Linked DNA regions of Daphnia pulex. The protein of the gene in region 2 purifies or fractionates together with the protein of the main gene of each other region. This does not show direct contact. Links are inferred from orthologs where the notes say so. Each region holds a gene or a part of one and is shown on either strand. Other genes may lie near its edges.

Region 1 (4,324 bases), on a different chromosome or scaffold from region 2:
ACTTCCTACTATTCCAGCAAGTCTCGGAGCATCAAAGGTTGAATATAGAACTGTACAAGTCTGACTGCCATCTCCTCTGTACTTGGGATTTTGAAATGCGTCCTGATTACACAAAATAAAAAAAAGGAGAAAGCGAAGAAAAATGAAGCACAAGGTTAAATTAATAATAACATGGAATTAGGGTTACCTGAAGAAGGTTGCACAGCTCTGGGTAGAAATTGGGATAAGTTGGTAATTGGTAGAAAATGATGTGATGAATCCCTTTCATTGTGAGCCGTCGGTAGAAATGTAATCGTTCTGTGTAAAGTAGCAAGCGCTTCTTGCCGAGAAAGAAACGATTACGGACTTGCGCAAGCTTTCCGTCTGGCGTGTATTCACATGCCTGAAAACACGCAAGAAAATTAATGACGTCACCGTTAGAGGAGAAACATTTTTTTGCTTACTTGGCCAAAGTTGTAATCTTCCTTGTGAAGATGATTCCTTAATCTTACGTAATCGTAATACGAAGGAATGTAAATGAGTGTATTACTCATTATCTGGTCGCGATACTGCGGCAGGATCTTTTTAGTGAAAAAGTGGTAACGATCGTCGGCTGACTGGGCCGCTGTTGGCGTAGGAAATCGGTGAAATGCTTGAGGCAGCTGGACAAGTACTCTGCAAACAGTTGTCGATGATGCTGTAACTGCATTTTCTATGCGTACTTTGCCCGCAAAATTCGTTCCACGACGGGAAAAGAGCGCCGCAGCTTCGGGAAGCGCTACGCTGCTAAAAATTAAATTCTGCCTGTAGTGAGCAGAATAACCGTTTAGCGCCCAAAGACGGACACGACCTGCACGCACAATTTTATTGCGTTGAAAAACTGCAGACCAATAATAAAAGAACGATTTCAAATCATACCCAAGTCCGTGTCATGCTGTTCTCGTGGTTGAAGGTGCAAATGTTGAAAAATATGCAGAACGTGATCCCAATTCTGATAAACAAGGAAAAAAAGATGTTGGTTGACCTCAATACAATTTAACAAGAAATGTTACCTGCATATAAAGAACATCCGTCTGATCAATCACGAGCACTTCGATGCTACAGAGAAAGTCAAAGTCTTCGGCAAGTAGCGTGCGTGCTCCCAGAGGAGATGCGATAAGTATATCGGCTTTGTAGAACCCAGCGTAAAGCTAATACAGGTTACACAGAAAAAAACATTTGATCAAAATAAATGTAATTCCATGGAGTTTGGTTGTGGTTTACCTTGAGAGTACGTTTGGCAACAGAGATGCCTATCCTGAAAGAATCGTCCGTGTTTCCTGTAAATACCGCCTCAAAATCTTCTGGTTTGTAGCTCTTTTTCGTCTCTGCTTTGCCCTCGTCATCTTTTTCCTCACCAAACTCTTTATAGAAACGATCTTTATTGATAATTTGTCCTTTTGCAGGAAGCAACAATGTAGCTAATTTCTCCACGATCCTGAAACAAAAATAGTTAAAAATTAGCAAAGAAAATGTATCAAAACTGTGATTGAACTTACTTCACTGCAGAGTTTCTGAGAGGAGCGATAATTAGAACTCGAGGACGGACTAATCCTTGATCTCTATATTCTATTTCATCGGTCGCAACGCCATTTTCTTTGGCCTTTTTCAATTTGGCGTTGTGAAGAAGAACTTTGTCTCTCGATTTCATTACATGATTCAACGAGTGAAGGCAGTAAACTGTTCTAATCTCGTCATTGTTTAAATGGTTCATTTCAGGATAATAAACGTCGCGGTATTCATTTGCGAGAGTGAAAAGCTCATGCTGTAATGGGGAGAGCAGTTCTTCAGCCGTTTGTTTGTTGTCCGAGAGTGGCCTCGTATCAAGGTTGGAACATAATTGCAATTTAACACCGTATTCACTCAAGGGGATTCCAGTTTTCAATACAGGTAGACTACCAGGAATGACATAACTTTCTATTGTTTCACCTAGTAATGTAGGCTTTGGTTGACTTGTGTTTTTTTCAGGTTTGGTTGGCAGGTGAACCACCATTCTTCCAAGAACTTTCCACTTCAGTTCTTGAGTCTCATAAGGCTTGGGTGATGTCAGGATTTCTAAAAGGTTTTCATTTATTTCCCTGTCGAAATGAAGGTGGAAGGGATCCGTAGATAATGTTTCTTCTTCTTCATCACCAGAATGTTCTTCTTCCTCTGATTCAACTTCAAGATCTTCATGTATACTATTTTCCTCGTCAATTTCTTCAGCAACACCAACTGAACTACCACTTTCCTCTTCTCCTACTTCCTCATCGTCTTGAGCTGAATCTTCTTCTTCACTGCCAATGTCATCTTCATTAGATTGGTCATTGATATCTTCAGCTTCCTCTTCATCTGACTGTTCTTCATCAGATGTCAAAACTTGCTGTGCTCTACTACTGGATTTAAACATCGACAGCAGCTGTGTGTAAGGTTTGACTTCTTCTTCTGATTCACTGCTAGATGATTCTTCTTCGATAATAGGCACAGCCTCTTTTTCTTGTTGAAGCTTTTGTCTTTTACTTTCAGAAGTGTCATCTTTTTTTCCATCTCTATCTTGATTAAATTTCCTTTTGTTTTTAAAGTTACCTCCACCACGAGTCGATTTGTTACCACGGGAACCGTGGTTTTTGTAATTGCCACGTTTAGGCCCTCCTCGTCGTCCACGTCCCATTTTAAGAACAAAATAACGTTCGAATTTAATTTATCTGAAATCAAAACTCAAACTCAAATGCACGTGTCAAAATGAAAACTTTGATTGCAGACGTCCAAAGTTGCAAGAACAACACAGTTGATTAATTACAATTTAATAGTGTGCTGCCAAAAATGTATCAAAAATATATTTATTTAAATATATTTATTTATTTTATTCATATTTTTTATTTTATAAATTAAATTAAATGATTCCTTTAAAGTTGAAAATATAAATTGCCAACATGGCAACCAAAAATCACCAACCAAAATGGCGGGCGTCTGCTATCAGGGAATTCTACATCACCAGTGAAAATTAGTTTATTTACCGGAAAAGTTGACAGGTAGCAATCCTGCTTATATATAGACTGATTCACTGTTTAATAAAGCCTTCGAATGTAAAATTATCGGTGCCGTCACGATGGAAGACCGTTGTTTAAACGGTGGAGCCGACATGTTTGAATAATCAAAGTTTTGGTTATTATTGTTTGTGTTTTTGGATCGTTTGTTGTTTACCGATGGCTGGGCAAACGGATCTGAACAGTGGTAGTGTAAGTGGAAACAGCAGCCGGGACGATGTGCGAACTCATTTCACAACCAGAGAGGGAGTATATAAGTTGATAACATTAGCCGAATACTCCAGGGCAAATCGGCTGTCTGGTTACACTGCCATCCAAAGCCAGCAAGGAGCTGCGCTCGGTCAAGGTTCAAACCCTCCAGTTAGGGTTACTTTTGTGTCTCTACCATCTGATCCATCAGGTTTTTGTGACCGCATATGTTTCAACTATGGAAGGGAACTCTACTTCTACACCTACAAGGGAACCAAGAAACCAGCAGACTTGTCCAAGCCTGTTGATAAAAGGATTTACAAAGGAACCAGCCCCACTTGCCATGATATCAATAAATTAACAATCAGCAGTGAAAGTGTTATGCTTCTAGTTGGTTTCACTGGCGGACAAATCCAATTAGTAGATCCAATAAGGAAAGAAATAGGAAAACTTTACAATGAAGAGGTTTCTTGAGATTTTCTGTTTTCTTTATAAATTTATGGAATTTCAATAACATTATTTATTTTTTCCTTCAGAGAATAATTGAAAAGACGAAAGTAACATGTATCAAGTGGCTGCCAGGTTCCCCCAATTTGTTCCTAGTTTCTCATGTTTCGGGACAGATGTATCTGTACAGTGAAGATGTGACGTGTGGTGGACCAGCACCTCCGACCTATCAACTTTTTAAGCAGGGGGCCGGTTTTTCGGTCTGGACTTGTAAAGCCAAAAGCACTCGGAATCCCATTTACAGGTTATTATTCATCATTTCATTTTTAATCATTAATAAAATCAGGTTAAAGACTCCTCCCATCTAACCCCATATTTGGTTGTTAGGTGGGTGATTGGAAACGGCGCCATCAACGACTTTGCCTTCTCACCTTGCTCGAAATACTTGGCGGTTGTGTCGCAGGATGGGTGTCTGCGCGTTCTCAATTATGATGCCATGGAATTGATCGGACTGGCAACATCCTTTTTCGGCGGCTTGCTCTGCGTCTGCTGGTCACCCGACGGGCAGCTGGTAGTGGCCGGCGGCGAGGATGATTTGGTGACGGTTTGGTCTTTCCAACAAAAGAGAATCGTGGCCCGAGGAC
Region 2 (3,051 bases):
TTCGGCAGCAATTGCTTTGGCGTCACAAGTAGCAGCTGAATTTTACAGTAAAACACATTTTATATCACTCCATTATAAAATTGGGAGAATAATAAAATACACAAACTCTTATTTGCTTTTGGATCAAGAGTTCTCATTTTACGGTCCCAATGGTCTTGGAAAACCTTGACAATTTAGTGAAACGTATTACAATTTCATATAAACGTAATAAATGCATGAGCATTACCTCGTTAAAGAATTCAGTTTGGTAATTCCGCAATGTACTTTTCGATTGCCTGTTGAATTTTTTGGATCTAAAAGGTAATCCTGAATAAACTAGATGAATGAATATTAAGCAAACAAAAATGAAGGACATATTGGCAGCCATGTTTCCTTGACACTTGTGATTCAATCAAAAGTGAATGGAAAACTGTATAAATTTTCCGGTTAAGGGTTAGTAATAACCTACCGTGTCGATGAATGTTTGAGCCTTTAAGATTAACCGTGGTTTTCCCCCCCTTTGAAGCACTACGGAAACCCCATTAACCTCAGAGGAGAAGTTTGAACTAGAATGTATACTTATCTAACTCAATGAATTAATTTTATTCTAAAAATGACAGGAAATGAGCGATATTTAGTAGATAGAAAACGGGATGTATTTCCATACAAGTTGCATTTCGTCAAACAAGTCAAGCCATATTGAAATCATCTCTCTGAAATAGAAGGAATGAAATTGATTAATTTCTTTAAAAAATTGCAATAATGATCATTATTACCATCTCGTTGTATTCCATAATATGTTTCTTAATAGCTGAGGAGTCTACCCAGGTCACAAAATCCTCCATATTTCTAATTCATAAAAAAAGTAACTGAGTCATTTATATGCAATCAATAATTGAAAAGTTTTAATAAGTACCTGGTAACAAGAAATGCTGGGTCTTTTACCACTTCAGGACCAACTCTGACATGTCCTTGTTCCACAAATGTAGTTGCAGTTTTGATGGAATCTGCCATCTTTGCCCTAACCATGACCACAGGAAGTCTTCTTCGACAGAAGCAGGATGCTGTTATTTTGGAAACAAGATCAAGGGACCACTTGGTTGGAATTAAACCCATGGAATATCTAAATTTAAGATAACAGTCAAGTAACCTTCAGAAATTATATGAAAACAAAATTGTACAGTTTTTCCAAAAGAGCAGCGCTGCACTCCACTCTGAAAGGGTCTTTGGGGTCGAGCTCCTTTATCTTGTTTGCCAACTTTTTTACATGCATTACAAGTGTGCAGTACCTGCAATTAAGATACATCGTCAAAATGATTTCTTAAGAAATCTGTCATTTAAAATCCACTTACTTTGTGTAATCATCTCTTTTTTGAATTCTGTATCTTTTAAGAATTTGCACTTCATGAACATTGTTGTCAAGCTTCCAGGAGATGAAATCTACTTTTTTCAACAATTTCTGTTCATGATACTTTAGTTTTCGGACCATTCTGTTTTGTTAGTTTTTCAGACGTTGCACAGAAATCCTATGAGTTAATTCTTATAATAAAAAATCGATGAGTTTATTTCTATGACGTTGTACTCTACCTGGAACAGAGATGTGTTGCTGATTTCGAAATTAATTATTGAAGAATAAAGCTGCTAAACCTTGCAATCCCCTCGCGAAACGCACGAAAAGTTTGATACAAACTACAAACAGCAGACAAAAAAAGACAACTTGCAGACGACGGAAATCTCACACGTGTGTGGCTGCTGAATTCTCTTTAATAGTTAAACAAAGTACTAGGTGGCAGCATGCTACAATCTAATATTCGAGCCCTTCGTTCTTATTTTTAAATATTTATTATTTCAAAGTGCATCGCCAACAGCTAGCTTGTATTAAAACTAAAAATATGCGTCATATGCTTCCACGTAAATTCCTGTTTTTTCCAACATAAAAAACATTGTTAAAACATGCGACGTTTCCATTTAGGACTGATTCTGAGTTTTGACTCGAGTTTCTTGATAAAAGATGTCTTCACCAAGGACTTTGTTTAATGTATTCAACATGTGGGTAACTGTGTAATATTTAAAAAAAAATCAAGGACGGATGGTCATGATTGAAAGATTGTCGACAAGAGAAAAACTGATTTCTATTTCGTTTATTTTTGGCACTGTGAAGCTTAGTCGGTTGATAGCAGACGAGCACGTCTAAAAAAGAAATGATAAATAAAAGACGTGATGGATTGAAACCGAAAGAGAAATCAGTTAAACAGGAGGGATTAGCATTGGTAAATATAAAGGTAAAAACAATAACGTGGACAAAGTTCTTGTTTGTTCTCCCCACAACGTAAGCTCAACTGGTGGCAGCTTGACTACGGAGAATGGCGGAAGCGTTCTTGTGCAATAACATTTGCTTCAAGGCGAATGCTTCGTCTCTCAAAGTGGCCACTTGAGCTCTCAAGACCGAATTCTCCTTCTGTCAAATTACAAAATAAAAAACACTCAAATTGAAGTATGAATAACCAGTGAAATTGTTTACTAGATATTAAATCCTACCTCAAGGAAATTGGCGCGAACTGTAACTTGATCCTCACGGTTTTTCCGCATGTCTCGAGATCTCTTAGCCTTCAGAAAAAGATAATTTTAAAATTCTGTAATTTGGAAATTTTTATAGATCACTTACTGCAAGATTATTCCGACGTCGGCGTTCAAAATATTTGCCATCCTTCAAATCATCGGGAATAGGTTTCTTCTCACTCCTCGGCCTTCTCGTGGTGGCCGAGGCCAAGGCTTTGGCAACCAGGTGAGAAGGATCAGCAGGTGAGGCCGGACTTGTTGCATCTGATTGATTAAGATGGTCAGACTTGTTTTGTTGCGCCATCAGATCCCGCTGGAAGGAGAAAGCAGCCGCCATAGCATGCATTAGCTGTGATGAGTCAGGATGATGTTGATACGATGGCGGAATCGGCGAATCTTCACGTTGGTGATGACTGCGACTAGACAAATCAGCGGGCGATTCATCGTCGGCCGACGATGACGAGCTGGTAACTTCACTTCTTTCGTCGTTTAACGACATGCTTAAGTTCACGG

What was found.
Region 1: the proteins of U3 small nucleolar ribonucleoprotein protein IMP3-like (region 2) and U3 small nucleolar RNA-associated protein 25 homolog purify together in Homo sapiens (affinity purification with mass spectrometry; 3 studies listed by BioGRID and IntAct, with this or other methods). This does not show direct contact. The link is inferred for Daphnia pulex from reciprocal best matches to the Homo sapiens genes IMP3 and UTP25.

What each region holds. Positions count from the first base shown.
Region 1 is NC_060023.1:10,108,879-10,113,202, reverse strand, and holds the start of U3 small nucleolar RNA-associated protein 25 homolog, read right to left. Parts: upstream 2,844-4,324; 5' UTR 2,669-2,843; coding exon 1,518-2,668; intron 1,457-1,517; coding exon 1,243-1,456; intron 1,170-1,242; coding exon 1,032-1,169; intron 971-1,031; coding exon 898-970; intron 830-897; coding exon 444-829; intron 383-443; coding exon 188-382; intron 103-187; coding exon 1-102. Other genes in the region: WD repeat-containing protein 20-like, read left to right, coding at 3,204-3,698, 3,770-3,984, 4,068-4,324. UniProt on the Homo sapiens protein: Component of the ribosomal small subunit processome for the biogenesis of ribosomes, functions in pre-ribosomal RNA (pre-rRNA) processing. Essential for embryonic development in part through the regulation of p53 pathway.
Region 2 is NC_060021.1:8,086,566-8,089,616, reverse strand, and holds U3 small nucleolar ribonucleoprotein protein IMP3-like, read right to left. Parts: upstream 1,728-3,051; 5' UTR 1,567-1,727; intron 1,506-1,566; 5' UTR 1,469-1,505; coding exon 1,332-1,468; intron 1,269-1,331; coding exon 1,161-1,268; intron 1,103-1,160; coding exon 896-1,102; intron 829-895; coding exon 756-828; intron 693-755; coding exon 669-692; 3' UTR 613-668; downstream 1-612. Other genes in the region: uncharacterized protein LOC124194159, read right to left, coding at 1-35, 101-164, 227-367; transcription factor VBP-like, read right to left, coding at 2,315-2,437, 2,518-2,586, 2,645-3,051. UniProt on the Homo sapiens protein: Component of the 60-80S U3 small nucleolar ribonucleoprotein (U3 snoRNP). Required for the early cleavages during pre-18S ribosomal RNA processing. Part of the small subunit (SSU) processome, first precursor of the small eukaryotic ribosomal subunit.